3 linked regions of the Daphnia pulex genome follow. The protein of the gene in region 3 binds, or shares a complex with, the protein of the main gene of each other region. Links are inferred from orthologs where the notes say so. Each region holds a gene or a part of one and is shown on either strand. Other genes may lie near its edges.

Evidence for each region.
Region 1: transmembrane protein 17B-like (region 3) and B9 domain-containing protein 2-like share a complex: the UniProt entries of both Homo sapiens proteins name them as parts of the tectonic-like complex. The link is inferred for Daphnia pulex from reciprocal best matches to the Homo sapiens genes TMEM17 and B9D2.
Region 2: transmembrane protein 17B-like (region 3) and B9 domain-containing protein 1-like share a complex: the UniProt entries of both Homo sapiens proteins name them as parts of the tectonic-like complex. The link is inferred for Daphnia pulex from reciprocal best matches to the Homo sapiens genes TMEM17 and B9D1.

The regions. Positions count from the first base shown.
Region 1 is NC_060024.1:10,634,853-10,644,765, reverse strand, and holds B9 domain-containing protein 2-like, read right to left. Parts: upstream 4,376-9,913; 5' UTR 4,335-4,375; coding exon 4,247-4,334; intron 4,162-4,246; coding exon 3,901-4,161; intron 3,815-3,900; coding exon 3,636-3,814; downstream 1-3,635. Other genes in the region: tectonic-3-like, read right to left, coding at 1,569-2,752, 2,830-3,622; GTP cyclohydrolase 1-like, read left to right, coding at 6,475-6,574, 7,248-7,436, 8,202-8,367, 8,447-8,563, 8,658-8,787. UniProt on the Homo sapiens protein: Component of the tectonic-like complex, a complex localized at the transition zone of primary cilia and acting as a barrier that prevents diffusion of transmembrane proteins between the cilia and plasma membranes.
Region 2 is NC_060017.1:7,402,006-7,413,210, forward strand, and holds B9 domain-containing protein 1-like, read right to left. Parts: upstream 6,190-11,205; 5' UTR 5,723-6,189; coding exon 5,555-5,722; intron 5,473-5,554; coding exon 5,130-5,472; intron 5,053-5,129; coding exon 4,922-5,052; 3' UTR 4,064-4,921; downstream 1-4,063. Other genes in the region: prominin-like protein, read left to right, coding at 1-182, 336-570, 639-728, 802-1,029, 1,207-1,365, 1,764-1,885, 2,530-2,586, 2,917-3,348 and 1 more; protein catecholamines up-like, read right to left, coding at 6,471-6,722, 6,790-6,989, 7,055-7,871; importin subunit alpha-1-like, read left to right, coding at 8,389-8,451, 8,520-8,673, 8,728-8,878, 8,939-9,194, 9,252-9,764, 9,822-10,389, 10,451-10,728, 10,928-11,029. UniProt on the Homo sapiens protein: Component of the tectonic-like complex, a complex localized at the transition zone of primary cilia and acting as a barrier that prevents diffusion of transmembrane proteins between the cilia and plasma membranes.
Region 3 is NC_060027.1:835,877-846,925, reverse strand, and holds transmembrane protein 17B-like, read right to left. Parts: upstream 7,202-11,049; 5' UTR 7,178-7,201; coding exon 7,066-7,177; intron 6,978-7,065; coding exon 6,874-6,977; intron 6,804-6,873; coding exon 6,492-6,803; 3' UTR 5,524-6,491; downstream 1-5,523. Other genes in the region: derlin-2-like, read right to left, coding at 8,754-8,901, 8,987-9,150, 9,239-9,361, 9,432-9,599, 9,658-9,723, 9,787-9,879. UniProt on the Homo sapiens protein: Transmembrane component of the tectonic-like complex, a complex localized at the transition zone of primary cilia and acting as a barrier that prevents diffusion of transmembrane proteins between the cilia and plasma membranes.

The sequences.
Region 1 (9,913 bases), on a different chromosome or scaffold from region 3:
GGGAGAGAGCGCCGGATCAATAAGCCGCATGAGATATATCTCTCCGACGGATGGAGAGATGAGTGCGGCACGTGACTGGGCCGCATTTTCGGCGGGCGTTCAACCACCGAGCGATGAACGCCGTTCGCTTATTCCAGTCGCACTCGTCAGTCACGTGACCTCTTTAGAAATAACAACACTTTTTTTTTCTTTTTCCCAACGATGGTAACAATAATAATTTATAAAAGATCTAGTCTAGATTCACCCTCCAAAAAAGTGGAATCAACTTTGATAGATGAGAGATCCGGCCGCTATAATTGCCATACACGTACGCTGTACTACGTAATATAGTGGTACGTCTTATTATTTCTTGGCGGGACACAACAGCAATCCCGGGACCTTTTCTAATTGGACTAAGCCTTTTTCCTCTATCTTTTCGTTTAGACGCTCCCGCTCCGACATGATGTCACTGTGTCGGTTATTTTGTTTCTTTTCCCTAACAATCAAAAAGACGATCGATACATAGGAGTCGCCCAACGGGGTGCCGGGTGCATCAGGACACATCTATTATTTTGTTGGTCGTCTAACATTTTTTTTTGGAGGGGGTTTGGTTGTAAAATTGAATTAGAAATCTTCCTCATGGTGAACTTTATGGTTATTTAGCGGCGACCGAGTCAGCGAGGGTTATCGGCGAGCAAATTGAGACGGTCACCGGGGTCGGGACATTTCAAAATAAAGTCTAGTACTAGAACAAAAACAAAAAGTATTTAGAAATGTGTGTAGGTACATGCCCTCCCCAACAAATTCCGACCGTCCGCACCCACTGTCGGTTCATGTTCCTCCGTGAACCGGCCCGAAAGTTCACCTTTTTTTCGTTCAACTCTGCTGTGGCATTTTCCAAATATGAACAGACGGGAGGGGGGATCCTGTATCTCTATCGTCGTTCTGATCAGACTTGGATATAATCGTATAGTCGAACGTATAGTAGTAGGAGTATAGTACCTCCTTATATTTCTCTGTGTTTGGGTGGGTGTGGTTTTTTGGCTTCGCACTTTCCTCGACGGTTGAAGTCGCCGTCCTTTTTGTGTGTCTTTTTTTCTTTTCCGCTGTCTGCCCCGGTGGATGTTGTTGTTGTTGTTTTGACTTTTTCAGAGTCGCCGCGCTAGCGCGTAATCCTCCCGTCGATATATCGGATGCGATGATCCTGTGCGCTAGCCAAGGAAAAAAAAAAGTTTTCACTCTTTTTCCTGTTTCGGAATGTTATAATAATACTATGTTACTCGTTTTTCTTGTCACGCGATATCATCCTTTTATGCAGAAGAACTTGCGACTCTCGACTTCTACTATTTCCATTATAAATTTAAACCTGTTTTCTTTTTTTTTCTTTTATTATTATCTTTTCTTTTTTAATACTTTAGTGATCCTCTCTCTTCTCTTTCATGGCTTCACTTCGGTTCCTATCTTTTTGCCAGCATTATTGTTATTATTTGTTATTTGTAACCCTAGACGCCATCTAGCGGTCGAAAAAGTCAATTGATAAGAAATTCTCCGCTTTTTATTTTTCCAAAATAGGAGACAGTGAACGCCATCTAACGGCCATAAAACACGACGACGAGGAATAGAGGAAGCGTGATGGACGGACTTAATAATACGCTTCCGGCCGAGGACAAAAGAAAGGGATAAAAGAAATCGTGAGGTAACTGGATTTTCCAACGGGGCGGTTGAGGCAGAACCATGAACGTGGGAGAATCCGACATGACGAACGAAACGGTTTGACTCAGCTGGAGGGAGCACCTGTTGGACGATTCGACGAGGCAATCCGCACCGGACGACCTCAGCGTCAACCCAGCGCCCAGCAGTTTGTTCTGCGGTTGGTCGTACGACCCCGATTTGGCGTAGGCGACGACCAGTTGGCCGTGGATGAGCGAATCGAAGCAGCTCAGCTCTTCCGTCTGGATCCTGATGGCCAGCCACAGGGCGGAGACTTCCGTCTCGTTCAACTCGACGTTGCCGAAAGCCCCCAAGCGAAGCAGTTGCAATTGCGGACCCCAGAAAGATTCCAGGACGAAGTGGCTCCAGTTTGCACACCATTGAGTCCGGTTGTCCATCTTGATCCCATTCATACGGAAAGCGTGGTAACTGTCCTCTCCAAATCGGATCAGCCGGGCTTTGGGCGTGCCGGGGAAGACGTCCAGCGTTTGGTAAGCTCCTTCCCCGCTGGACGAGTTCAATTTGGCAACCAGAAGGGGTTTGCCCGTCAGGTAGCCAGGGTTTCCCGACCGTGTTCTCAGCGGATTATTCGCACCGCCACTCGGTCGGTTCATTTCGGCCAGTGATTGATGGATCGTTTGGAAACGGACCGGTCCCGCCGACGCCGACGTGTAGAGCAGATCCGCCAAAACGGAGCGGATGCCTTCTGTCCCGTTGTGAGTAATGCGCAACGTCACGGCGGTCAGCGAATTCCGACAGCTGGGCTCAGGTGCTGGAAGATCCGATCTGCATTCGGAATAAGAGTTCTCGCAGATTCTAACAACCACCGGCGCCAACTTGTCCATGTCGCCCCATCGGGCGCTGCTATTGCCGTTCCCGTTGAAAGAGACCGAATAAGACGGAAGCCGGAAGACAGCTAAATTGGCCAGCCATTCTTCAAGACGAATCGTTGGACGGCATCGATCCTCGCCCGGCAGACTGCACTGGTAATCGTTATCAGATTCCAGGAAATGGACCGTTTGGGCCGTGTTGCACGAAGCGCTATTGAGCGAACGCGGTAAATCTGACAAATGAAATTGCAATTAAAACAAATTCGCATCAATAATTCAATTTAAAAAAAAATGAATTTCAGGCAATTACTCAAGACGCTAACGATCCCGTTGATATGGAGAGTGAAGATGGGCGACCCTTGCTTGTAGTACGGCTGATAAATCCATTGTTCCAATCCGGCACTGGGTTCTTGGCTCTCCGGATCGTTCCATCTGCCGGACAATTTGGGCGAGATGTGCTTGAAAAGCTCATCTTCGGTAACGGGAGCTTGATCTTCGAACAATCTCTTTTTAGGGACGTTGTCTGTGACGATGCAGAACATTCCGCTGCGAGAACTCCACTGGACGCGGAATTCCGGCGTATTGTTCCATACGAGTCCGTAACGATCAGGATCCGGCGAGCAATAGTAACGGTCGAAATACGAACTGGGCGGCGACCAGCAGCCATTTAATAGGCGGAGGTCGTCCTGGCTGCAGTCGGGATCGCAGCAGCAGTTGACGTCACACTCTCCGCCAATCAAATCGCAAGTGCAGAAGAACAAATTGTAATCGAACGGATCCGATTCCGGTTGTTCGGGAGCGACGGTCGTTGTCGGAATGGATTCCGACGACGACTCGGTGTTGAGATAAAGGAAAATATTCTCATCTAGATTTATATCTGCTGTTGATAAGGAATTGGTTAAATTCTCTGACATAGGTGTCGCCGCCGTCGTCGAATCGGTGCTCGACTGGTTTTTTCGATTCAAGTCGGTTTGGTTATTACTTTCAGATTGATCGACTGCTGTACTTTGCGTCGCGGACTGGGTAAAGACGAAAGTTTTGGAGATGAGCAGGGCAAATTGTAGAATCACGAATAGCAGCTGAAGGGTGGGTAACTTGGCCATTTTCTTTTGACGTCTAGTACTCGATGCCAAACTTTTTGAAATCGCGGAAGACTAATCCTATTTCCAAGTAGACTCTTCCGGTGGCTTCAGTTCTCAAACGGGATCGATCGGCTCCGTTTTGGATTCGCTCTGCGTCAGCCAACTCGACTCCACCGCCAATGAAATGACGCATCAACTCCTCAGTGAATGTACCTTTTAAAAAACCAGAATTGATCACTCTGAACTCCTAAACGGACAGGTTTTACTTTTTACAAAGGGAACGAAGAAAAAATAAAAACCTAAAGGTCTCCAGGCCGGAGCGTCGATGTAGTGGATGCCGGGACGTGTAGGAATGGATGCAGATGCGTAGCCTATCAAATTGGTTCGTGAGTAAGCGTCCAGGTGGTAAATCTGTAGGTGAATTTGCGGCCAGCCTTGAAGACCTCGAGTAGCCCAGTGCACGTCCAGTGGATGATTCCAGCTGCTCACAGAACCGATTTGTGGTGTGTCAAGTTGCGTCTGGCCTTCAGTGGCTCCTTCTAGAACACGCCAATTTTCACCTGTGATGTTTCACAATTCAAAACGTTAACGAGCCCGATCACATTTAAAGAGAGAAAGCGCACGTCAAAGCCGATTGGCACCTACCTGAAGATAATTGCCAGCGACAGCAAATTGATTTCTCGGAAAACTCTGTTCCGCCGATGATTTGCCCGATTAAATGTAGTTCTGCCATATCCCTTTTTCCATCCCACTACTAATATGAGAGAGACGCCAACTACTCGAAAAGAAAACAAACAAAAGGTTGCCATGGGTGATCTAGTTACTATGACAATGGCAAAGTCGTCTGCTTGTTTGTCAAGATAGTTTTGTTGTTTTTTTAAGAGACACGATTTGAATCCGGTTTTCCTTTTGTATAACTTATCCAACAAAGATTTTGATCTTATCTTATTACATGTAGAACCCTCAATAAAGCGAGAACAGTAATAGTAGTATTAGTTTCAACCTAGAAATAACTAGTGGCGTTCGTTGTACTGAATTGAGAGTTTAAAAGTTGGACCAGTTTTTTTTTCCTACAAATTTCTCAGAATATTTTTGTTTGGATATTAACAAGATCTTTTTTGTGTGTTGGCTAACTTTTAAAGTTTCCTGGCTTTCAAAGATCTTTATTTCACTTCATTGCAAGTTTAAATTGGCACACATGTTCATTGAACCGTCACAATCTCTCAAGTAAGTATATATATTTGTTTCAACCATTTGGATTTTGTTGCACAATTTTACTTTCAAAAATATTATAATCTATTTTATGTTGAAATATTTGCAGTTTCCATGTGGATGGTATGGAAGCCTTGACCTAGTCTTTCAACAGTAGCAGATCTGTCTCCAACCTTGCTCGATTTAAAAGGCAGGTGTCATTTCAATATTTGCATCACTTCATCACAAGCAATAGTTTTATTAGCCAAACTTGTACAAGTTTTGCTCTATATAACCATAAACTTGTACAAGTTTTGCTCTATATAACCAATTAACCATAAATTTGTACAAGTTTGGCTTTAATGGCTTATAATTTTAGTAATTTTTTTATAGCGATTGATCTATGGAACTTTGTGTAATTTGAAATGCTATTTGAAATTATTGTCACTTATTTCATATCCAATCAATGTTGATGGATTCTGATGAAATCTGTTAATGTAATTGATTGAACGTCCAAAGTGTGGCCATCGATCATCAGTTTGTAGTTTGTACAGTATATTGTGTCGTCGGTGCTGCACATACGCAAACAATTTTTGATGGGCATTATTCACAAGCTGATAGTAAAAACAACCGATAGATAAATCTTGTTGCGCAACTTGCCCCATAAGTTGAATGGATCGTGGGTGGGGAGGGGGGGAAAGTAGATCGATTCAAACCTTCTACAGTGCCCCTTGAGGGCACCGTGTTGCAGTTCTCAACGCTCGATGAATGAACATGAGATCAGCTTTTAGCGTTCGAGTCGTTTGATCCAATCTACTCTCTCACAGAAGCAATCGATCCGTAGATGCATCAAGTCCCGCCGTCGGCTTGGGTGGGTCGGGAGTGGAAAATAAATGGCATTTTCATCAAAGATTCATCAAGGCACTCTCTATGGGCGATTGAATTCTTGTTAAAGTCTTTCGCGCTGCTGCCCCCGCGCTCCTCAATATATTTCGTATATTCGATTGACATTTTTGGCCGGGGGAAAAAAAAAATCTGATAATTGCATACAGCGAGACGATAAAGGAAGAGGATACCAATGTTCTTGGTCTACGTGACAGGGTTCCCTATATGTGAGGCGTTCACTTATTCGGAACTGCAGTTCAATGCACTTGCATCAAATTTAGCGTTTTTTCCCGCCAAACTTTCCTCGACACTTTTTATCTAATTTGCTCTAGCTACACCTTAATCACCTATTTTTTTGGTTGCTGTTCACTTTCTATTAAACGAGATCTATCAAATGCGGACTGATTGAGTGTTATATAAGCTTGCGGCGTTATTGGGTAACCCGAATATGAAACGAGAGCATTGTTGCTTTGCTTCTCGGCGTGCGCCCTACGCACTATATAAAGAAGGTCGGCAGAAGAGAGGTTCAGTCCCTTCACAGTCTCCGGAGCAACAGCACCAGTAGTGGCAGAACCAACAGGCAGCTGGACATTTAGTTTAAAAATATATATATATATTATTTCTCAAAAAAAGATTAGGTACAGAATCAAGAAAATGACTTTTCCATTGTTAAATTTCCCGTTTTTTTTTCCATTTTACTGTTTGAATAGGAAAAATACTAAAATAGCAAGATTTATTTGTAATCTTTTTTTTTTTCAATTTTCAATCTTTAGATCAATCAATCTGATACTACTAACATGGAAGCTTTCAAAGGCAGTAAGCCAGTAGCTGGAGCGGCTGTCACAAACGGAGATGATCCCGAGTGTAAATCCATCACTAATGGACTACGGACAATCGGTTAGTTTCCACTTTCCTTCCTCTACTTTGAGTTTAAGACAAATGCTGTTGAGGTTTAAGCTGGTTTTTTTTCCATTCATTCTTTCAAATGTGTCGCGTAGAAACGCCCTGGGCTCGGTTCGTAATCTATGTGAAAGCCTTAAATGCGAATAAAAAGCTTTCAAATTTGGTCCGAACTCCACGAGATGTCTAGTCGAGATTTAGAAAATGAGGTTCAAAGAGTTGTGTGTGTGTCGTGTGTGACAACTGATCGTGGTAATACCTAGATCGCACATATAAAGGAATACCCCACAAATATCTGGTCTCATTTTTGACAAGACAATGTACTTTGCTCCTCGTCTGATATGCTAAGCATGAAAATTCGAGACGGTTGACGATCGATACATATGTATTCAGTTCTGGGACATCGAATGAAATCAACCGAGGTTCAGCTTTCTCCGGGAAAATCTAATTTCATCAGAAACCTGCTGATAACTATAGCCCAAATTTTTTGCCAGAATGATGTAGCAAATTAAATTACGGGACCTATGGGGAATTCAACGACTTGGATCTTATTACGTTTCTAATCAAGGCCCAGCATCCTACTTTTACATGACGTCAATTACAAGTCAAAATAAAAATGATGATTATTGTAAAACATATTTTTGTGTTTATTTCTTTTCTTTTTTATTAGATGTCGATAATCTGCGGAGTTCTCCACGTCTGAATCGCGAGGACATGTTACCGTCAATGGTGGAGTCGTATCGTTCCTTGCTGTCCGATGTTGGGGAGGACCCATGTCGCCAAGGGCTGCTGAAAACGCCCGAGAGAGCGGCCAAAGCTTTCCTCTTTTTCACAAAAGGATATGAACAGACGCTAGAAGGTTATTCCAAGACATCATTCATGCCAATCAATCTTGTCTTGCAGATTTCTTTCTTTTCTTTTCTCCTCGTCCAATCTCTGAAGAAACGTTTCTTTCCCGTTAGATGTCTGTAATTAAATGACGGGCCGTTGTTGATTACTAGGGCAGCGCTTAAAGGCATCTTCCATTCTACTCGGCTGTGAAAGCGCTTTCATTCCCGCACGCCGGGATGATGAGCCGGCCGTCAACAATCCCCTTTTTTTTATTAGTGCTGTTTTATGGTTTACTGTTTCCATCCCGTCCGGCACAAGACCCCCTCCCGAAATGATTTTCTCCGCGATTTAAGATGAGCAGCCTTAAAGGGATATTCGTTTGACTTGCTATTCTCGTAGGAGTGATTGGTCCCATTCTTCGACTTCTGCGAACATTCTTCCTGATTGCTGCCTGTTGAGCACGAGCCCCTCCAAGAAAAATTCCTTGTCGCTAGATAGACGGTCCTCGCAGTACGTGACGCGTCTAACTTTCACCAGATTGCTGGCACGCGATCGATATCGTGCGGGGGTAGATGATGAAAAGCAGCTTAGTTAGGAATTGTCCTTTTCGTTTCGCGTGTCACTTAACCGACTTTTTTTTCGTCTTAGTTTCATTTTTTTTTTTCATTTCACTGTCTCGTTTGGTGGGGCTGAATGTCTTTGTTCATAATCATTGCCTACGTGACAGTTTGACAGCTGGCGCCGCCTATCTTATTAAACTCTCAAGTCATTTGTTATTATTTTCATTTGACAGAGGTTTTGAACGATGCCATTTTTGATGAAAACCACGACGAAATGGTCGTGGTCAAAGACATTGAAATGTTTTCCATGTGCGAACATCATTTGGTACCGTTCATCGGTAAAGTGTCCATCGGTTATTTGCCCAACGGCAAAGTTCTTGGACTGTCCAAATTGGCCAGGTTTGCTGTTCATTTGAATATCTAATTTTGAATGAAATAAAATATAACAGGTTTTTCTTTTTGTTTTTTTCCAAAACAGGATTGTGGAGATCTACAGTCGTCGCTTACAAGTCCAGGAGAGGTTGACCAAACAAATTGCACTGGCCGTGTGTGAGGCGGTAACGCCCCACGGAGTCGGCGTTGTAGTAGAAGCAACGTAAATATTTGAACATTGTTAATTCATCATTTGTTACAGCACAATTGATTGGATGATTCATTGATCTCCTTTTATTGTTGTGCTCATTTTGCAGACACATGTGTATGGTCATGCGGGGCGTTCAGAAGATCAACGCCAAGACAGTCACTTCCGCCATGTTGGGCGGATTCCGTGATGACTCCAAGACACGCGAAGAATTTCTAACTTTTGTGCGCACTCCTTGACCCCGGTTTTTTCGTAGTAATAATGTTTCTTTGCCAATCCGGAATACGACTCCATCATCCAAATTACCGAATGACATCACTTATTACTCATTTCCAACAGTCCTGCCTGAGGAATGTGTTAAGTAGCACTGCATAAGTTCGCTGCGTACAGGAACCATGACCCTGCCACAAGAATGTATCAATTAGTATTGTCTCGTATCGTTGTGGGGACCATGATTACCATCAGCATATTATTATCAACTTTAACAAAAATTCTCATTAATCAAATATTATTACAGTTTGTCCATCTTTTTATAATTTTTTTCGTTTAGCTAGCTGTGTTTGCGAATATTGAAACATTCCATTTCAATGGTAACTTTTTTTTTAATTGATACGTTACGTTACATTTTGGTGTGACTTAAGATATTATTTATATCAACAGCATCGATTGATAATATATTCGTGTCTTTGAAAAATATAGAGCTTATCTGGATCGTTTTCGTTTTAATGGATTGTCAATAAATGGATACTAGATTAGATTCATTCGATAAATATTTTGTCATTTTTGCTTTCAAAGGAACCGCTGCATTGCCGCAGCATTGTTGGGATGCAAAATAAGCCATCTACCGGTGTTAGTTTGGACTTTGTCATAAGTGTCCACTATGGCCTATGGCTGCTCTCTGTTTGCTTCGTCAGGTGTAAAGTTCTGTAACATGTAATAATTTGGTTCTCACTTCAACGGCTTCTGTTTTGTTTTGAAGTGGCTTACCATTTTATCATCTTCTCTGTTCTTTACCAGGTAAATAGTTCAAATCTATGTGTCCTGTACGCCGGTCCCGTAGCTTGGCTTACAATCGTGTGACAGATAACCCTGACAACACCAAACTTTGCTGCTGAACTCTACTGTTTTTCCCCCTTGTCAACCATCATTAAACTGGCTAGCCGAGTACCAAAAGTGTTTCGTATATTAACAATTATGTGCAAGAATTTTCCTTGTGAAATACTCTGGATGACTGAGCAGACTTAATTACTTAGGAACCAGCATCTCTGGAATTCTTCTAAAACTCGCTTGCAGTCTCAGCAGCAGCTCGGTCCTTTTATCAAGCACAGGTTGCAATGCCATAAATGTATTTAGGAAAGAATTGCC
Region 2 (11,205 bases), on a different chromosome or scaffold from region 3:
CACTTCCTGGTCGGTGTCTTTGGCCAAAATCTATCGTGCGAGGTACTGACCCGTTTAGGAACGGGAGAGGAGCCCCAACAGCGTGAGCTGTATGATTTTATCGACCGCAACATACCTCTCACGGCACTCAACCCACACGGCGTAGTCAAGGACGACCTCGTCACCGTCTCCAATATCGTCAAGTACGTGTGTGTGTGTGTGTGTGTAAACCACCACAAGAATTGCGTGTGCCGCTTTTGTGTCTGGTCGGGGGGCGTTATACGCTTCGGCCAAAAAGGAACGCTTGACAAATATAATAACAAACCTTAACCCTCCTTGTCGTTTCACTTCATTAGGGAGTGCCACCAGAATAAGACACTTTACCAAATGTTGAAGCTGGAACGCGTGCTGAACGTTTCTTCGCTGGGCGACCCGTCCCGTCGCTTGAACATCGAGTCTGAAGTCCGCCGCCTTACCAGCAACATTCGATTTAATGGAGTCAACTTGTTGTCCGTCGAAGCCAAACAGCAATTAAGAGATTTCGCCGCCTCAGACTTGATGCGCGTCAACTTTACGGCCTATTCGATCCTTGTAAGTTACGCTTGATGCTATACATCTATTTAGATTGGATAATAGAATGTTGTGAATTTGATTTACAGTTGGAACAGAACATCACGTCGGTCAACCTCCAGGAAATGGCGGCCATACTGAACAACACGGCCGTTCAAGTACAGCAATTCGAACCAAATGTAAGTCGGCTAAAGTGTTATTATTCGTTGTCGCCTTGAGCGACGACACGTAACGTATTACTTTATATATTAGGCTGCCAATACTCTATGGGACAATGCCATCTTCCTGTCGCGACTACAAAAGTCTGAATTGATTCCGATGAAAGAAGCAGCCCAGCGACTGCGCAAGGCGGCCGCCAATTTGGAAGAACGTGTCCGCTTCAATCAATCTAGCTTGTCGGAGGCTATTGAAATGCTAATTGGCCAGGCTGAATCCGCGCAGACCTTTCTCGAGAATAAAGGGCCCGAGCAATTGTCTAAGGTATATATAATAATCATAAAATAAAAAATTTGAAAAGAAAATCTTTCACGCTGGTGGGAACGACAGCGAGTTGATCGATCCGAGACAAATTGATGTATCGATCTCTCCGCTCCATCTCTCTCTTCCCTTTTATAAATTATTATATCTAACACAAAAGATGGATTGATTTATATGCAGTTGGCGGTTGAATTTGCCAAAGAGTGCGAGCGACTCATCGACCAATACGTCCAGCGGGTTACCGACCACGTCCTCTTTAAAGTCGGCAAATGTTGGCCGCTCTCGCAGGCCTACAATACTACATCAGCCGTGATCTGCCAACAAATCTTCTGGCCTTTTGTAAGTTTTCTCTCTCTCTGCGGCTGTATCCCGCCCCGGGATTAAAGTTGCTTCTTTTTTGTGTGTGTGCTTTTAAAAAATTGGATTCTTTGTTCTCGCTCCCCTTAGTCCTTTACTTGTTTCTTTTTTGTAAATCCGTTGGGTTTTTTGACTTATTGATTTCGTTTCAAAAGTTTGGTAGTGCGCGTTTTTTTCCTCTCTTTCCAATTCCCTACTTGAGTTGTGATGAATAGGTTAGGAATAACACATTCGACAGCGCTATTGGAAAAATGTGCTGGACTTGTATACTTTATTGTTTTTTCTTCTTCTATTTGAGAAGAGCAAAGTTTTCCTCCTTTTTTTCTTCCAGTTTAGTGATTCATTGTTGATCGATTTGTTGTTTCTCGACTTATATATAGAATGGATTCTGGGCCAGCGTTGGATGGTGCTGCCTCTTGTTTCTACCCTGCGTCGTTTTGGCTATGGTGCTAGCCTCCCTCTACAGGAAGACGGATCCTTATCCGGGTTCGATTGTCGAGAGGTAAGAGCGTGTTAATGGGAAGGAAAACAAAAAAATGCCGAGGCGGTAAAAGCCCCTCTCATATACCCGAAAAAGGAACATCTCTTTTTTTTTTCTTTCTTCTTTTTTTGGGTTATTTTTTTGATTTTACGATTATTTAAGGCCATTTCCTGACTGGATATCTTTTTATTGGGCGATGCATATCAAAGAGAAAAGAAACATTCCTCCCTGTTTGAAGAGAGAGAGAGAGAATAACTATGACATCCTTTCGTCATTCGGTTGAATTGGTGCCAAAGCTTTACTCTCTTTCTAGCATGAATTTCAGCTCTTTTTATATCATTGGATATTTTATTTATCATCGGGTATTTCTCTCGTTCTTGGTAGTATTTTATTTTTTTTTCAACCCCTCCCTCTAACAAAAAAATTGGTGATGGCGTGTAAATCATTTCTTTATTTTATTCGATGGCGTTGGTTGGTTGGTTGGTTGGTGGTGGTCTGGCTATTTTGCTTGTCTCTTTTCAAGTGAAAAAATATTGAACGATGATTTTTTTTTTTCTTCCGGGGGTTGTTTCCGCTATTTTTCTCTTCTTTTTTATTTTTTTTTTTATTCTTTTCATACCATTCCGGAAATCACAACACTTTTTCCTTCCGATATATTTCTTCAGAGAGTACTTGTATGATGCTTATGCCGACCGGGACAACATTCCATTGGCCTTAAACAAGTAAGACTTGATGGCTGTCTTCATCTCTTTTGATTTTTTTTTTCTTCTCCGTATTCTTCGTGTTGATTCAATTAACTTGACTGCATGCATTTTGAAAGGCTGGATATTAGAACGTTTTGCACGTACTGTGTATTTGTCTCAATATACTTGTCTTTTTCTGTCTTTCCTTTCTTTCTCTTCTTCTTAAAACAAAAGAAATGTTTTGGTCTTTTTTCCTTTTCTGTTTATGTTTCTGGTTTGTCCCTTTACGTTCAAAGAGATTTCTCCAACATCTGAATTGAAAATTCCATGTTTAACGAAAAAATTTCCATTTCTTTCCCCCAAAAAAAGTCGAGATCGTAGAGGCATCCCAGTCCCGAGCAACACCCGATCGGGTCACGCATACGGCCACGTTTACGGAGGCGCTTACGAAGACGATTACAGCATCTCGCAGCATCAGGCCAGGACGGGTAACGGGAGTGCCAGCAATCGTATCGGCGTCACTTCATCGGCTTCGAGTGGTGGCGGCGGAGTGAACTCTTCAACGGCCGTAGTGGCCCCGTCGGAACGCAATGGAAAGACACCCGGCCGCTTTCAAGATCCAGCTCCAAGAGCCTGGGGCGACGGAAGTGTTCCCCGTTACGTGGCATCTCCCACTCACGCTGCTGCCGCCGCTGCTACTGCCACATCGCCGTCCGCTGGAACTCCGGGAGGCGGAACCCCGTCCGCTCCATCCGCCGCCGACTACGAGAGACCTCCGCCGTATTACTATCCAGGACCAGCGTGAGTATTTTATTGATAAAAAGTCAGTCCTCTCAGCCTCTCGAGAGAGAGCAGCTGTGTGTCTACTCTCTTCAAGTTGATGATGGATTCTGAATGATTCTCGTCTTTTGATTGCAGCGATAAGTGAAAAGCTTTGATGATCTCGTCCTCGATTCCATCAACGTCCCGAATGACGTCTATCCTCCATTCTCTCCCCCCCGGCTGCTGCTTCCATTTCGAGTTGTTGTTTTTCGTCGCTGGATTGATGACGGAGGGGAAGCGGAAGTACTGATTGTTTTCCTCCACTTGTTCTTTTTTTCCATTTCGCGTGTCGTCGTGTTGCCGCGCATCTGCGCGCGCACACAGACGTCAAATGTTGTGTGTGTGTGTGTGTATACAATCCTCGGCGGAGCGATCGCGCGTGTGTGTGTATGTAAGAGTGAACGTGTTTGTACATTATTCATGAGTTTCAGAGTTTCATCTCTCCTCTCATCTCTTCAACAAAACAACAAAAAAAGTCCCGACTTGCACATGGATGCACTCCTCGCCCCCGGCCCCCCCCCCCTTTTATGTGATTTTTCTTGGCAATTTGTCTCTTTAAACGTGTGATGACATGTGCATTTGCTCCTACTTTATATGTGTATAACAGGATATAAAGGCGTGTTTGAGCATTCGAAACACGTACGTTTCTCTCTTGTCTCTGGTTGAACTCCCTGTCTATCTTTTTGGGTGGGGACTTGGGCCGCTGTTTCAAACTTTTTTCTTCTTCGTCGTCATCATCAGACCAAAGCCCAGTATAGTAAGGGATTTTCAATTCTTCCCTTTCTCTCTCTCTTACTTACTCACGGTTCGGTACTTTTGATGAGCAATTGAGGAGGAAGCAAAAAGTCTTTGTTGTTGTTGTTGTTGTTGATGAAATCTCTCTCTCTCTTTATAATATGATTCAATCAATACTTTTTCAATACCTTCTCAAACCAAACAGAAAAGAGTCAATCTCTTTTGTTGTTTTTTTAAAGCTCGGAGTAATCGAATCTCGATAAGTGTTTATTCTTATTCCCTCGTAAAAAAAAAAGAAATTTTGAAGAAAAAATGCCATTCAATTATTGAGGGGAGGAAACTAAATTTTTGATTGTTTGTTATACATGTCACCCGTTCCATATTTCTTCGTCTATCCGCTGTCATTAATTGAATCTTCCACCCCCCCTTTTTTGTATTATGTATAACAACACACAAAAGCTGCTGCCGCTGCTGGCGAACTTTTGAGAATTTCCGTCTCTTTTCACAGCTGGGACGGGCTAAAAAATTCAAAATTTTTTTTTTTTAAACATCAAACTACGATTTCATTCGTGTTTCTTCTTTTCTCCCCTGATTTTTGGCCGTCTTTTGAATTGTAAAATGACTCCCGCGGAATCTCGTCATTTAAGAGAATCATTCGCTCTTTGATGTCTTTAACCTCCCCCGCCACCCACCATTAATGGTGTCGTCTACTTAGTTGAAAACAAAATTAAAATAAAGAAATACACTCATTTCAAAGTGTTGCTCATATCCCTGTAGCCGTGTTCATTTATTTTGTAAATTTATAATTGATTTTGTCTTAAAAAATAGGCAAAGTGGATGATACTTTTTCCGGTCCACTGATTGATGAATCGTAGCCTAAACTTTGGAAATCTTTAAAAGTGGTGTGGAATTCGACCGTGACGTAGCCCAGAGTTTCCATTCGGAGAACTATACGAGAGAAAACAAATTGAATCAACTTTTGAAATAAAGTTATATAATTGAATAATAACTTGGTGGAGTATTACCGTCACGGCCTTCGTTGAGGGCAATAGTTTTGGGATCAATCAATTCAGGACGACGCCCGGTAAACCAACTGGTCCATTTGTGCAGAAGAGATTGTGACTGCGGCCGATAGATAGCCAGTGTTCTTGTGTAATGCCCAGCACAGATGGGCAAAACGGTGGAACCATAGCCGTATGCGACGTCATCGTTACCCAGCTCGTCGGGTCCATAAAGACTGACGATCATTCTAGGCCATCCGTGGGGATTCGTGCTCTTCCACGACGATTGTAAAGGAAAATTCCACACCAATTCTCGGCCCCCAGATGACTTTTGAATGGCTAGCTGACTTAACCCTTCTTCAATACCCTGTGCGTCAAACGAAGAGCTGCAAAGTCATTTTTCTACAATAAAAAAAAAAACAAACAAAGTTGACTGTGTATCTAGTTACGTGGCAGAAGATCCAGTCAGCTCCGTGGTGATAGCAAGTTTTGACGTAAAGTTGGGAATTGAGCGGGAATTCTCCGTGCCGGATTTGGCCTTGGACGGAATAATAAAAGCTGGTTGCTATCAGAGGAGTAGATGTGACGGGTCCATTTGAAGTTGCTACCGATGTCATTCTAAATTAAGATGTGCTTGACTGGAAAAAAACGTTAAGAATTCTCTACATCACAACAATATACACCGACTGCTGGCTCGTTTGTTTCGATTGTCGGGCTGACTCGTTGCCATGGTTACGTCTAATATATGCCGCCGCCCCTATGACTACGTAGCGAAATAAATGGGGGCATTATTCAATTTTTCTGCATTTTAGCGATTGTATCTTTCTATTCAGTAATGAAATGAATGAGTTAACTTGTATGATGAATAAGTCATCAAAATAATAAAGAGAATAAGTGAAAGTCAAAATTTTGTAGACTCGTCTCGGCGCCCAGTCAAAGGGAATTGCTCAATCTGGTATCAGTTACCGCACAAACTACACACAATAGCCAACATTGTTCTATTTCCTATATGGTTTTTATTTACAGTTGTCGCCTTTCACTGATAACGCAATTTCAATGAATAAACCACCTTTGATTGAATAGTAACCAAGTAGACTTATAGGCTCATCTTACCCTCCCAGCGTTGTTTGCTCAGTTAAAGTTCAATAAAAAGCTAAATTTTAAAAATTAAAAATAAGAAAAAATATAATAGAATCGTGAAATTTATTTTATACCTTTATTAAGTATCTTGCTCGGGTGACAAAACAATTACAAGGCATAATGCAGGCTAGACAATGGGTTCGAAGTGGTAGAAATGAAAGTTAAAATCCATCGTCTAGCCCTGCCAGATGGGATTTAGATAGAAACAATTTGTATCTCAATTTTTCATTCATATTCGGCTATCAAAACCATCATATAGACACCAGCTAACAAGGCAGCGATTTCCATTAAAGTTTGTGAGAATTTGCTGTTTTCTAAAAGCTCAGGAATGACAGAAACGGTGGCAATGTAAATGAATCCACCGGCTGTGAACGGAAGGATCCAGGCAGTAGCAGCAGCACCGATTCCTTCTGCTAATAAAGAAACTGCACATCCAGTAAGAGCTCCCACTGCTGTAATAAGCTGCAAAAAGATAGCCTGTCCAATAGAAAGTGGAGAATTAAGATTCCTGTTACTTTGAGATTGTCGGAGCGTTTGAAATTACTTTTTTGCGATCACAGCCTGACTGAATGAGAATGGCGAAATCCCCGATCTCGTGGGGAACTTCGTGCAACAAAACTGTGACTGTTGTTACGATTCCTGTACTTCTTCCAGCCAAAAATGACGCACCAATAGCCAAGCCATCAGTGAAGTTGTGGGTAAAATCCGCAGCCAGGTTCAAATATCCAGCTACCTTGATGTCTCCTAAAGAAATGGAATAATACAACAGATTTAATGACATACTACCAAAAAATAAACTAAATATTTACCAGAGGGTTTGGCAACCTCCTTGGTTTTCTTTTCCTTCTTTTCTTTGGCTTTTCCGTCTTTCGCATCTTTTGCATCAGTTGTTTTATCCTTCTTGGGTTCAGCATGACTGTGGCTGTGACCTTGGCCACCTTTAAGAATTCTAACAAACTTTTCAACAGCAAGGAAGGCAATAATGCCGCAGAGAACCCAAAGTCCAACAGTCATGTCGTGCCCATGAGAATGACCCTCTCCATGAGAATGTCCATGAGAATGCGAATGAGGTTCCTCATCTTCAGAATGAGCCATCAATGCATGCGGAATCAAATGTAGGAAAGCATCACCAAGAAGTCCACCGGAAGCAAAGCTAAGTAAAACTTTTAACAAGGGCTGTCGTTCAGGGCTGCTGTCAATGGGAATGAAAAAAAGCACAATGAACGGTGCTACACTAATGATTAGAGTGGAACCAATGGCTTCTGTCCATAAGGCAGCAGTTGTCCTTTTGGGAGCTTCAACATTTTCTGTGTGATGGTCATGATGATGATCATGTAAGTGTTCATCATGATCATGTGAGTGTCCGTGATGTTCGTGCGAATGCCCATGGTGATGTTCCTTTTCTATTTTCTTGGCTGGGGGTGGAGGAGGTTTCGGAATATTCGCTTCCTTGGAATACTTAAATGAAGGCCGCTCTTCTACATGATCGTGCGAGTGTCCATGATGATCATGTGAATGTCCGTGATGGTCGTGAGAGTGAGAATGGCAAAACTGTGGAAGTGTCAAAAAAATTCCTACCAAGAGCAGAAAACTGCAGAGTTTTACGACGAACCTTCGGTCAAGCATTTTGACAGACCGAATGAAAGCGCTTCAAGTCTGACGTGTTAAACAGCTGGTAATACTCGGGCTCAGAGTCAGACTCTCTGACGCGGTGACAGACCTTCACAACAAAAAACATGATTTAAAATATTACCCTTACCTATTCTTTAAAAAAATATAATAATTAAATAATTTGTTTTTCTTAGTTGTTTACAATTTGTTTGATAATTGCCAATTTGTTAGTACACGCAAAAAAGCTTAGAGATCACCTAGACAGGCGTCAAAATTTACATCACCGACGCCACCTAGCACCTACATCCAAGTCTTCATTGATCTCACACTAGATGACGTCTTTGTAATTTCATCTGAATATTTTTATTTGGCAACATCAACATCAGTAAATGTAAAAATGGCGTATTTAAAAAACTTTTCAGTTTTCATGTTTTCAGTCTCAGCAGCATTGTCTCAGTCGTTGGTTTAACTGTTCCCATGTGTTTGTCACTTCCGTGATTCAAGAGAATTGGACAAAACATCAACTATCAAAATGACAACTGAAGCAAATCCCACCCTGTTGAAGGACATCAATCATAATTGCAGAGGATATGAGGTAATAAGCTTTAGATAGTCAAATGTCATTTATTAAATTAAACAAATTGTTCATCTTTCATGTATGAGATGAATGTTAATTTGCAGGAAGTCAAGAAGGAAGATCACATGCTGTATAATAGATACAACCAATACATCCTTGAAGTCTACGATGAGGACCTCAGCCCTCTTGAAGTACTAAAATGCATGGCTGCAGCGAAGAGCATTGAGGACATAGTTAATGGTATAGTTTTTTTTCTATGTAACATATATTCTCATATGAATCTTTATACTGTAGGTATCAACAGTGGTGATGTAAACAAGGAGATTACAGCAACCAATGCTATACGTAAATTCCTATCTGAGGAACACAATCCAGCACTCATTCGTATCCTCATCAATGCTAATGTTGTTCCCAAGCTAGTAGAATTCCTTAGTCGTGTCAAAAAGTATGTTGTGTCTTTAAATTGGTCTTATTCAAACATTTCTTCATGACATTTTTGTTTTAGCGCTGAACTTCAGTTAGAGTCAGCCAGGACTCTCACCACCATTGTGCTATGCAGATCTTTTCAGGTCCAAGCTGTGGTCAGTGCTGGGGCTATTGCTGGTTTCATGTCAATGTTGAGTTCACCTCATCCAGTTACGGCCGAGCAAGCTGTCCGGGCGCTCGGCATTATTGCGAAAGACGGACCAAAGTTAAGAGATTACTTAATCGAGCAAGGATTTATAAAGGCGATGCTCAGTTTGGTCAAATCTAACTCTTCAGTAAGTTTATTTTTGAAACCTTGGTGAACATTTATTATTAACCGATTTCAATATTAGGCTACATTATTGCGTAGCGTCACTTCGACTTTGTCCAACTTGTGTCGCTATTTGGGTGGGAGTGTCCTTGCCGTCCGACAGCTTCTTCCTGCCCTGTACCACCTAATCCACGCAAATGACGAGGAGATTCTCGCCACCGCTTGCATGGCTCTCTCTCATCTCACTGATGGCCCGAAAGAAATAAAGAAAGAAGTTATCAACGCCGGAGTCGTCCCTCGGCTCGTTGAGCTATTCTATCACAAAGAAGAGACCGTAATTTACCCCACGCTGATGGTAATCGGCTACATTGCTTATTCAGGCGAAGACATATCTGATGAGATCGAAGCTTTTGTCAGCGCTGGGGCTGTTGCTGGGATGATTCATTTGTTAGATTCACCTCATCCAGTTGTAGTGGAACATGCTGCCTGGGTTCTGGGTAACTTTGCCAATCAGGGAGCAGAGATAAGAGATTTTTTAATTGAGGAAGGCATTATTAAGCCATTGGTATCCTTGATTAATAAACCCGACACTCCAGTAAATAAATTTTTTAATTAACCTTTAGAAACAAATAATAATTGACTTCATTATTAGGTTAAATTGTTGCAAGAAGTCACTGTGACCTTGACCAACTTGTGTGGTGGATACGAGGACAGTCCACTCAGTGTCCCGGCAGTCCGACAGCTTATTCCCGCCCTGGCCCACCTTCTCAACTCCAACGACAGCGATATTCTCGTCTGCGCTTCCATGGCTCTATCTAATCTCTCTGCTGATGGTCACGACGAACGAATCCAAGATGTTGTCGACACTGGAGTCGTTCCTCGGCTCATTTCTTTGTTGGACAAAAATAGATTAAACGATGATTTTGTAATCTCCATGGCTCTGTCGATAATCGCCAACATCGTCACAGCCAATGATAGTCAAACCGATTCCGTCCTGGCTGCTGGTGCCTGCCCGGCGCTGGCCAAGTTACTTGCTCATTCCGATTTGGAAATCGTCAAACGGGCTGCCCGGACCGTGGCGAAGATTGCTGCAGGCAACGCCACCCAGATTCAAGCTCTCATTACCAACAACGTTATTCGTCCGTTAGTGGACGTGCTGGGCAATGGCGACTTCAAATGCCAAAAGGCAGCAGCTTTGGCCATTACCAACATCACTATGGGTAATTTATTTAAGTTTTACTGGTGTTGATTAATTTTTAAATGCTGTCTTTTAAATTTCAGGTGGCAATGTCGAGCAGATCGCTTTGTTGTGTCAGTTTGGTGCCGTTGCTCCGCTGTGCACTTTGCTGGAGACCAAGAAACCCAAGACTATCGTGGTCGTATTGGATTGCTTAGCTAATATTTTGGCGGCTGCCAAGAAAATGGGCGAGCTGGAGAAAGTTTCTCTTGACGTAAGAGTGTGTGGTGGCTTGGATTTAATCGAAGTTTTGGTTATCCACAACAATGTTGATATTTCTCTCAAGTCGCTGGCTGTTCTGAAGCAGTATTTCTCCACTGACGTAAATTATTTTATATTATGGCTTATTTTCCTTTTTTTTTTCATGATTACCAGTTTACCATAATTGTTCACATTCAAAGTATTTGTGTTGACAACTTGACCGTTACTGAGATTTTAGAAAACTATTTTTTTTTTTAATTTTTTTTTTCATTTTGATTTAATTGGTTTTTTGTTTGTTTTTTTTTTTTTACTTTTGACAGAGGGATGAAGATTCTGAGTTGGCGCCATCGATATCGCAGAGTGGCAATTACGAATTCAACACCCAGCCATTTCAAACCCCTGAAGGAGGTTTCTCATTCTAAATTTTGTAAATCTAAAATTCTTTTTTCTGCATATACAACGGTCAATATATTCTTCACTTCTTCCCCATCCTAACCATGAGTTTCGGCCTTTTCTTTAAAGTTTTTTTTTTCTAATTTTTTGAAATTCAAAGTTGCCATGCACGTCTCTTTCCTCTTTCTCTACAGAACAACTCGAT
Region 3 (11,049 bases):
AGAAATAAAAAGCTGTCCACATTTTCTGTGTGTCCACTGCTGCTGCTGTTTATAACAGAAAGAGAAAAGAAGAAGAAGAGGAACCTTGAACTAGATTGTTCCATGACTGTGGACCTCCTGTATAGCTCTTCTCTTCTCTCTAGTTAGACACTTGTACATGTCCAGCAGTTCCAATATTTGCTGGACATTGTAGAGCATTTCCTATCTTTTTATAATGGGGAAAATAGTTGACCAGTTGTAGACTTGTTTGGAGCCCCAACTAGTCCGATCCTGTTCCACTGTGCAGCAATTTCCAATTGGTGAAAGTGTTGGAAGAATTTTATTATTTTTTCACAGTTTGTCCAGACTGTTGATGCGTTTCTTGCTGGATGACCTTTATATTCCACGACCTCAATCCCCCTTTTTTCCCCCCTACATATATATCCATCCCCCCCTTTTTTTCCCCACGCTTTATCTTATCCCCATGAATATTTTATTTTTCTAAATTTAGAATTTTTTGATGAACGTTAACATCGTTGAAACATGATGAAATCGAATTAAAATGAAATTTTCGTTTGAATTTCAGATGAAAAGTGACGCCACACGTGTGTGACGGTGGGAGTGATTCCACATGTCGCCATTTCCGCGAACCGGAATTATTCCGGATAAAACAATTATTTGCACAATAGTCTCTTGTGTGACAAGTTTGTCTATTACGACGAAATGTTTTTATTTTTCGTCTAATTGAAACAATTTTCCCCCAAAATTTTTTTAGAAAAAAACCCACAAATAGAATCAGAACTATCTAGTCATCATCATATTACCCAGAGAATTTGTGACTATGGGCGTTATATTTTGTATTGGCTAATTTTGGGTTGGCGCTGTTATGTCCGTAGAGCCATAACAATTGGTGGTCGTTTGAATTTAGATTGCCTTCGACGAACAGGTGATTGGATTCCCAGAAATTTTTTAGAACAAAAATACGCACGTTCCTCTGTAAAGAATTACCAACTCATCAGGGTTTGGTCTTAATAAAAATCAAATGTGTGGAATGTGTTCATCTGGTCGCAGAGCCGGCTCCAATTATCCATATGGCGGAACGAACAGAGGACTATAGCGCTATACAAGTCGCAATAACGATGCTGGACAATGTTGGCCGGACGTCGTGTGTTCGGGACGCTATACGGAGGGGGGGGGCAGGGCTAGCCTATTATAGTAGATAATTGAATTACGGTTATTATTTCTTCTCTGCTGTAGTTTCTGAGGAGATTATTTCTCCGACGTGCATCATCGGTTTCCAATGAGGGACTTTGGCCACTTGGCCCAGTAATTCGTTTCTCATTAATTTCCCAGTAAATTCGACAGTTGCCAGCGGAACATTTCTTGGAATATCTTTCCAAGTGAATTTTCAGACGTCGGTGAAACTCGGTGGGAATATCCCGTCGTGAACCAAATTCACATATTCGTGACCTACATCATTTGAACCAATCACCGTCCAGTCAAATTGTCCATTTACACTTGATGCCATATCCCAGCAGTTGAATCGCCTGGGAGACAGAGAATCAATCCTTTTTGTAGAGAATTCCCTGATGAAATCCCAGTTAAGATTAAAAAGAAGAAAAAAATCACCTTGAACATTTCACTCGAATGTTCTGGAATAAAGTTTGAATCGGAGAAGAAGAGAGAAAATGGGTTCGTTCACCGGCTGGGGGAATTCACGCTTGATATAGCGAGCGACATTTGACCAGCAGCAGCAGCAGAAGAAGATTATTATTATTATTATTACGTTTCGTCCTTGACACATCACGGCCGTTTGGGGTTTGTGACCGCTCCGGCCGGTTCACCTGTACTCCTAAGAGAGAGAGAGAGTGGACAAAAAACATTTTCTGGAAATGATATCAACTCGTCTTAAAAGATCAGATGAAATGTGAGGCAATATGTAAATCGACTACTACTTCCATAGAATTATAGAACAGATACAAATCACACGGGACTGTTAGAAACAGCCGGGACCGTATTGGGCCTACATTCACGCGTTCAACGGCCCTCCCTTTTTTTCTTTTTCCAAGGGGGAGAGAACGAAACGGGTTAAATCGCCCTGTAGCTATATGAAAATGTGAAACGAAGATGCCCATATATCAGGGTTGATCAACCCTTTTTTTATTTGATTTTATGTTTTGGTAGCGGACGTGATGTGGCGTTGGCATCGCCCAGATCTACTATGTCGATGGCCTAAACTCCGGGACGGAACGAACCAAATAATAACGACCGACCGTCCGTCCGTCCGTCTGTCTGTCCGGCTATACAGAGTGGGCCCAGCTCACATGGCCGACAACCTTGGGAGATGCATAGGCAACAGCAGGCGCCGGGACCAGCGCTTCAAAAACGTGAGGGAAACAAACAACAGCCCCAAACGGAGGTACGTGAATTTTCCTACAAACATTTCGGGATTCCCGAACGAACGCTAGTCGGCTTTTCTTGGACGACCGACACGTGTGCTCGAAACGTGCCCTCAAAAAAATCATCGCCCTGTACTACGACTTGTCCTGGCTCCTTTTGAATTTCATATTCAATGAAAACTTGTACGTACATATTAGAATTGAATATCAAAGAAACATTTGCCGGAGCGTGAGTAGTGTAATAAATCTGAAGTCAGAGAAATTTTTTTAAAAACTTATTTCTGAGAAAAATAAAATAAAATAAAATTAAGGGGATGTGAATGCATAGATTTTTTTGGTACGTGCTAGATGTGTAGAATACTACTCCCGTATATATTATAATACAGGGCTCTTATAAATGTTGATCAAATGAACGTGAATTCCATATCGGGGCTCGACAACCCTTTTTCTTTTTTAAAATATTCTTGTTTAGCCCCAAAAAGATTTTTGTTTTTGTTTTGTTTTTATCTTTTATATTTTTCCCGCTCGCTAGCTGGCTGCACGATCATCGCCCCCAATTTAAATATCTCGGACAACCCAGCAGCAGCACCGGCCGGCTCGGCGCTCTTCTCCCGCTATAAAGGGCTCACGCGTGCATACTTTATATATCCCCAAGGTCTCTGGCATGTCTGTCGGGTCCCGGGTTGAACGCACTCGCTCCATACACACGAGATATTTATTTCCCCAGTCTGTATAGCAGAAGTTATATATATATATTTATTTCCCCAGTTTTTCGGAATTTTCGGGTAGATTTATGAACGTCACGTAGGCCTCTCTCTCTCCCGCTTCATTTGAATTTCATTTTTTTTTGTTTTTTTTTATTATTGTCCCGCATTTATAGCATTTGATTTATTTTCCCGGACGACTGATTCAGTTTGTAGGCCGTCATCTTCGATCGGACGTCCCTCAATCACAGTACGGCCACCTGATTTGTACATTTTTTTAAAAGTTGAATCATATTGAACGTATTGAATTTGAGTAGGAAATGAAATTGAATTATTTACGCTGCTGTTGCATGGGAAGGATCCTTTGGGGAGGACGAAACTGAAGAGCTGGAAGCCTCCCAGGTGATTGCGACGGGCCGATCCGTTGGCGGATGACAGCATCGAATAAAGACAATACAAAACGACGGAGAATAGGACGGCACAGATGACCTTTAGTGCGCCAATTTCATCCATTTTTCTTTTTCTTTTTATTACAGGCGCCTCTGTGTGTGTTTTGGCCGGACCTTGGTGAATTTTTAATGCCAACTGAATTCAGTTTTTTTTTTCCTTTTCTTTTTCCGGGGCTGGACTGTTTCCAACTGGAAACGACCAAAATTTCCCAACGTCGTCGTCGCGATTTTTTCTTTTTTTTCTTTTACTGGGAATTTTGGATCGGAATTTTAAGGACACGCTAGGGCATCGGGTCGACGAACATTTTTTTTCTGTTTGACTCGAGAAAGAGATTGAAAATTTGTCCTAAAAATCAGGGACTATTTTTTTTAAATAATTAAAAAAAAAAAAAAAAATTGAAATTTTTTCCACATTTCGAATTTGTCCGCTTAATTTTTTAAAAAAATATTTTGTAAAATATTTCTGGGAACAACCGCAATGGAAATTGCATTATATTTCCCGAGATATTTCTGACCAGAGATATCGTCTAAAAATTGACACTAGGTATATAGCCTACCAATAGAATAGATATTATAGGACATTTTATAGTTAACTGCATCGGGGATTTCGGCCTCCGTTGCGTCATTCATTTTTTTAAGAAAGAAAAAAAAAACCATTTCTAAATATATATTTTAGTCCAATATATAATTACCTACGGGGAATTGTGAGTCTCTACGTCAACAACTTTATGGGGTATAGTATTTATTTGTGTATCGCTGCTATGCAGCCTTTAAAGATAGCCCCCCCCCAACAACTCTGAACACAAATGACGTACAGTGTCCCAAATGAATTATCTGGCGTAGGATAACTTGACCACTATTTCTCGCTGGTCTAAATATACTCACGTGTGTTGTTGTTAGTAAATACCCTGGTGAATTCCGATAACACTTATGTAATTTTCCATTTTTTTTGTGAATTTTTATCAGTAATTAGCAGTTTATCTTCGTTTTACTGAATTCGCCAGTTGCAGTGAATTAACGAATATTATTTGTTGACTTTTTGAGTCTAAAAATCATCTCTGGTGAATTACGAAAAAATGTTGCGTAATATTTTTGTTTCTATGAGCATTTGGACAGTTTGATGTCGTTGAATTGAAATGGCCCAGCTTCATCGGAAGATTTCATCTCCTGGCAGTTGTTTTTCAATGACATTCAAGTTCACAATGTACACATAAAAACGGCCCGTGTGGGAATAAGTTCTGTTGAACTTTGTTTATGCGTACACACACGGCCGTCACACAAGGTTTTTAAAACGTAACGTTTAGACATTTATAATGAAACAGTTTACGACTTTTGGCATTTGACTTTAAAATGACAATGGCCAAATTATTCCCACAACTGGGAATAAACTCGAATCGCAATTTGGAAAAAATAAAAGTCAGAATAAGAGAAGAGAAATAAAAGTTGACTCTCAGATGAAATTGTCCTATGCGATTTCAACTTAAAATCAATTGGCGATTCCAATGAAATAAAATTCATTTGTGTCATCAGTCACGTAGGCTGATGACGTTTCGCCAGTTTAATGGACTGACCTTTTTTTTCAGGTAAATTGACGAAAAGATTTCGGTCCAAAATGACGTGTTGGAACACGTCACAACTCGTTTCCGCCCACCTCAACGACCATTTTCTTTTTCATTTCTTTTCCCACGTTCCTCCCACACCCTTCTAATTAAAGGACTTGTTAATTTCGCAAGTGGATAAACGTCCGACAAGGTGAATGGGAAAGGGGGAGAACTCTGATAGTGTGTGCATGCTGCACAGTCATCGTTTGGACATTTTGGAATTTCCTATACATGAAAGAATTAGAAATATCAAAACCCCCGTGGGAAATTTCGAAAAAAAGTCACGACCTCGCGGACACCAAGTTCACTGGCCGGCCGGCCGTCAAATCGCCCAGCAAGGTGATCACCCCCTTAAAAAAAAAATGTATTACTCAATCAATGACAAAAATAATCAATTTTCGCAATTTTGTGTGTATTAAATTGGGGAATTTCCCCACCAAAATGTCTCAGGTGAGTGTGTCTGTGCTCCGGCCTGATCCATCAATCAATTACACCTGTAGATCTAAATGTTTTGGAATTGCTAATCGTGTTGATTAAACGAATTAAAAGGGGCGACAAAAGAAGAAGAAGAAGAAGAAGAAAAAAAATGGTTATATACGACAGAAGGGGAGAAAAGCAGGTCAAGGTATAACATCAACAGGTCAGAGGCATCGAGCTGCTGCTGCTGCTGGTATACGTCTCCGAGTCCTTCAGATTCTTCTTCTTCTTCTTGTATAAGACGAAAAAAAGATTTCCCCCAAAACTCGTGGTGACCTCGTCGAGTGTAGTGATGCCGATGACCTGTCGAATTGTTTTATTTGTGTGCGACACAAAACAGAAAACAAAAAGGGGAAATAACAAGCTCTTGAGACGATATCTTTTCACACCCTCTCCCTATCTTCGTTTTTCTGTCCAAACACCATTTGGATGTTCTTCTTCTTCTTCTTCTTCTGTGGCGATCCTGTGAGATTCTCTGACTCATCGGACCTCCTTTCACTTATTTGGTTGCTGCTTATTTGTTGAGTATAGTTTAGTGTGGTAGTAGTCGTAGTAGTCGGAGTCTGTGTGTGTGTGTGTTTCATTCCGCCATGTCAAGGTCGCTGGTCACTCGCCAGAAAAAAGAAGAAAAAACCCCAACAAAATTCCAGCGAGCGGTTCGCGTGCATATAGATACTACCAAAAGAGTTCTCTCTCTCTCTTTTTCATTTTCATTTTCATCTCTCTCTCTGTCTATCTGATTCTTTTTCGTCGTCTCACACAGAACCCTGATGCGCTTTTATAACGAAAGAAAAACCTGTCGACACGAGGTGGAAATTAAAGTAAGAGAGAGAGAGAGAGAGACGTAGAGGTATAGTTTCTCTCTCGCCTGGCTCAAGGTTTCTAAAATTGGCGAAGGCGGGCCACGTTACGAAGTGTGGCGAACGAGACACACAGCTGGACTGCCATCAGGAGACTGGAGATGGACAAGGCGACAATCTCCAGGATCTGGCTCAGGCTGAGTGCCACGATCAGGATGATTGTCACAAGTGGCAGCTGGACCAGGAGTGTGGTGAACCAGAAGGTGGACAGCTCTGCCACTTGCTCGCTCAGGTTGCCAGACATGCCCAAGTAGATCCTGGTGGCTTCCGTCACACAGCAGGCAGAGACTCCAATTCCAAGAAGGAGATACGAGAACCAGCCAAAACATTGGTGCTGCCAAATGTAGCAAGAGATGATGAGTGAAATGTAAGACAATGACTTTTTCTTCGTATTATGTAAATACCTTTGCCACAAATGATGCCAGGATGATCGCCAGCCACACTGGGTAGTAGACCAAGTTGAAGTATAGTGACATTTGCAGTACCAAACTTGATTGGACATCATAAACTTTGCTCCATAAAACAATCAAACGTTTAGCATAAAGTACGAGACGCAATAGATAGAACTTGAATGATTTGAGAAGAATTGAAGTTACCTATGTCACTTTGACCCGATACGAATGAGAAATCTTGAGGTATATCCGACAGACCTGGAAATATTCTATCGCTGAAAGAATCCACAACATTTTGAACTGATTGTCTTCCCATTATTTCATCGCTTTCGACGATGGCTTTTGGCTATGAACGAAATGACAGCCGATTGTTTTGGGCATTTCAAACTGGGCGCCATGGCAACGACTCTAGCAGAACAACTCAGCTGTTTTCATTCGTGACTTTCTCCCGTCACAGTATTACATGTGCTGTGTGGTACACGTACAAACTTGTTTTGTGAATAAAATACTTGGCGATTATATTAGAGCAAGTAAGCTGTGAAAAAACTTGTAGGATCGATGGCTGGAAAATTATTTTTCATCTTTCTTGTCCAGGTTTCACAATCCAAACATGGGAAACTGGCAACTGGAAGCAGCCAAAATGGGGATGTACATGATTTTCCCAGTTGGTTGTTTCTATTACTTTAACCAGGCAGAGTATTTTGAAGATTGGATGATCAATCTGAGGAGAGAAATGTACCCTGCCGAAAGCAGGGTGAACAAAAAGATGTTTGAGGACACCATTCGCCAAATGAAGGAGAAAGAGGAACGGGAATATCTCAGACTACTTGAGGAGAAGGAAAGAAAAAATAATGCCTAAGTTGTCTGTTTCTTAATTAGATTTATGTATACAAGAGTCAATTTCAACTAAATTTATTTGATTTCTTTCGTCATCGTGCAGGTTTGATTTCTACTTATCTCTTCAATTCTAGACTATAACATTCCCAACTCCAGTATCTGCTTCCACTATCTGGTGGACTAAACATCTTTAAGCAGTTCAAAAGATCCTTGAAGAAACAAAACAAAATTGAGGACTGCGTGTGTGATCAGGGCAGTGAACTCGCTGTAGCATAAGCCTTTCCCAATGCAGCATCATCTCTGTAGCAGGTCAGGATTAGAAAATCAAATGACTCCAAACAAATAGCAAGTCTTGTTAGTTTGACAGATTTGCGACCTTCAAGTTGTGTATTTGGAAATCTTTGGCGCATTCACTACAAACAAGGCGTCGTAATGCAATCGAGTTTTTTGGACATTTATGCTTCAGATGGGAATGTATCATTTTCAAGGTTGACAACTGCTCCTTCCTATTTGTTGGCTTGAAACAAAATCGCTGTGCGCTCGGTGCAAACTTGGACGTTCAAAGAACCTTTTCACTAGAATTCGCAATCGGTTATCTCAGATTGACTTATGGTCGGTCCGCCTCCCCTTCATCTCTGAGCTAGCGAAAAAGGGAATAGTCTTGTTTATTCACATCAATAGAATATTAATTCATTATCTAGTGCGCTCCGATTTTGATTGTGTGTTCCCAAAATGTTCGAGTTGGATGGGCGAAGAACTGCACTATGGACACTACGAGTACGGTTGATTGCGTGTAAACTTGACACGGTTAAAAGATGGCCATAAAAGGAGAAAGGGGAAAGCGCTGGATATTTGTAAACGTTGCAACAAAGCAGTATGTCAATGCTAGTCGGTCATTGGTAAGCGAAAGAAAACCGGGCCACTGTGTAGAAGGAATAATGAGGGCGAACATCGACAACTGTATATTAAACAAATTTCCATGTATTTTCTTTTGCCATTTAGTAATTTTTCAAAAAGACGATTGTGTTTGTTTCTCTTTTTTTTCTTTCTTTTCCTCACTGATTTTCGTTTTCTCTCGGCTGGTCGGCGACTGCGTCTGCCACTCCCGGAGCACCAGCACCGCCCCAATCGAAACCCCCAGGACGCTCGTCAGGAGCCGGATTGTAAAGAGGGTCTTCAGTGTGCGTGTCGAACAAAAGTTTCCTAGGGGGGGAAAAGAAAAGAAACCGTGAACCCCTTGACCGATCTTTGATGTTTTTCTTTTCGAGAATGCCAAATTGTTGCATACAGTAAACGAGGCGTGGCCAAGAGTCTTCTGCCTCCAGGCTGATTAGGAAACACATCTTCCAGGAAGAAATACAAGTGACCGATGGCGATCCCGAGAATGTCCACCAATACGCTATTGCCTAAAAGAACTGAAAAAGCCACGAGAACCCAAGGCAAATATGGGGCCTATAAAAATGTCAGGATAGAGAAAAAAATTATCGGTTAATTTTCGCACAGGGTGTTTTGAATTTTGCAGTTGCTTTGTCCTATTTACTCGAAAAGGTAGAAGGCCGAAGAAATTCATCCTAACGTAAGGATTTCTCCGAGCCCAAATATAGACGAACATCGTGGTGAGCGAATGTCCAAGGAACAATAAATTTACAAACCAAGCACATATCTAAAAACATGAGAAAAGCAAATAGTTAAAAAAACTTGAAACAGGAATTCATGCAAATTTTCATAATTACCACTGTTGTGATGCAGCCAAATATGAACATGTAAACAAAATCAGCTGTTCTACCTCTGAATGAACCCTCCTCCAACATTCTACAATAGCGATAGGTAAAAATCATGTTGAACAGAAAATTGAAGCTGAATGTCCCAAAAAAGAAGAATGGAGTCAGTAGCCTCCATATCTGCAAATACAAGATTACATGATTTGGCTACCATACAAAAGCAAACCAATCCTATTACCTCAAACTTTTGAGTGATGAGCAAAGGATTGAAATACAGTTGAAAAGGTGACACCACATCCAGTTGCTGAAAAGGAAATGTTTTGCAGTCGATTACTGAGTCCCTTTCAAAGTTTCGAGTGTTACTTACCACTGCAATTGAAGTGAGCAAGCAAACAGTGGTGTATGCCCGAGTTACTGGAGGCATCAACATATACTCTTGGCGTAATGTGTGGTAAGCCATGGTGCTTTCTTGTAATTGATTTCATCAACAGTCAACTAAGATGATGTTTTATCACTTAAATTGTATACTGTTATTGTATACAAAGGACTATGACCAGCTCAAACACGAACCTCAAATAAGAAAAACAATTTATGAATACCTAGAAATACAATCAAGAAACGATTTATCCAAAAATGTAAGGATTTCGCGAAACACTACCAACCATCGTTTTTCCCAAGAGTCAAATTGGTTTGTTTATTTTTTCTTTTAACAAACCCCCCTTGGTCGACGTGGACAATTTGTAGAGGCTACAGCAGAAACGGAAATGTCAAAAAAAGGGAATTCCAAAGATCAATTTTTGGTTGCTATTGCAACGGTGTAAATGGCGCCTCTTTTGATGTAGCAGACAACTTTTTGATTATTATTCCATCCAAGATTCGAGTGATTTGAACCGTTGGAACCTCAGTTTATTTTGACTAAATTGAATTTGTTGACGTAACCCCTAGTTTTTATTTTTCATTTCGGGTCTTGGCGATAAATCATCCATCTTCTACTTTATTTATTATTGGGAGGGAGATGATGAAACTGGAAGTAGGTGCATTCAGTGCAGTCTTGCAGATAAAACAAAAACACATGGTCGAGTGTCGTAGTTCGTATATTTGGTTTGAAAAATGGTTGGCTACAATTTCCACGGTTATTGACTTTTGTGAAACTCTAAATTCTTCTTAATGTGAAAGGATATATGCAACTTGAGTAACAGTTCATGCTGGGATAGGTGATTGAGCAACCATCTTCACATCACAAAACAAGTATTTTACTCTTACATAATTATTCGATGAGTGTGTTTTCTTTTTACTATAGCCTGGTACATGTTGACCGACCACAATTCATGTATCAATTTCTAGGAACAGATTAGGTAATAAAGAATACAAAGAAAGGAATTGGCTCTCTCATAAGATAGAAAATTACATAGCAGTAGCTTTCATTATTTTATCTGTAAATTCTACTACAGCTAGTAAGTTGTGTAATGATTTGAGATGCTGAAAGGCTTTTTTGTTTCTGGCAGAGCCATTAATGTATACTGGAACAAGGCCAGCAAGATGCATACCTTCTGTAATTCTATTTTTGGGATACCCTCATTTCTCCCTCTAACTCTTCCAAAGGCCACTTTTATTGAGTCTCTAGTACACT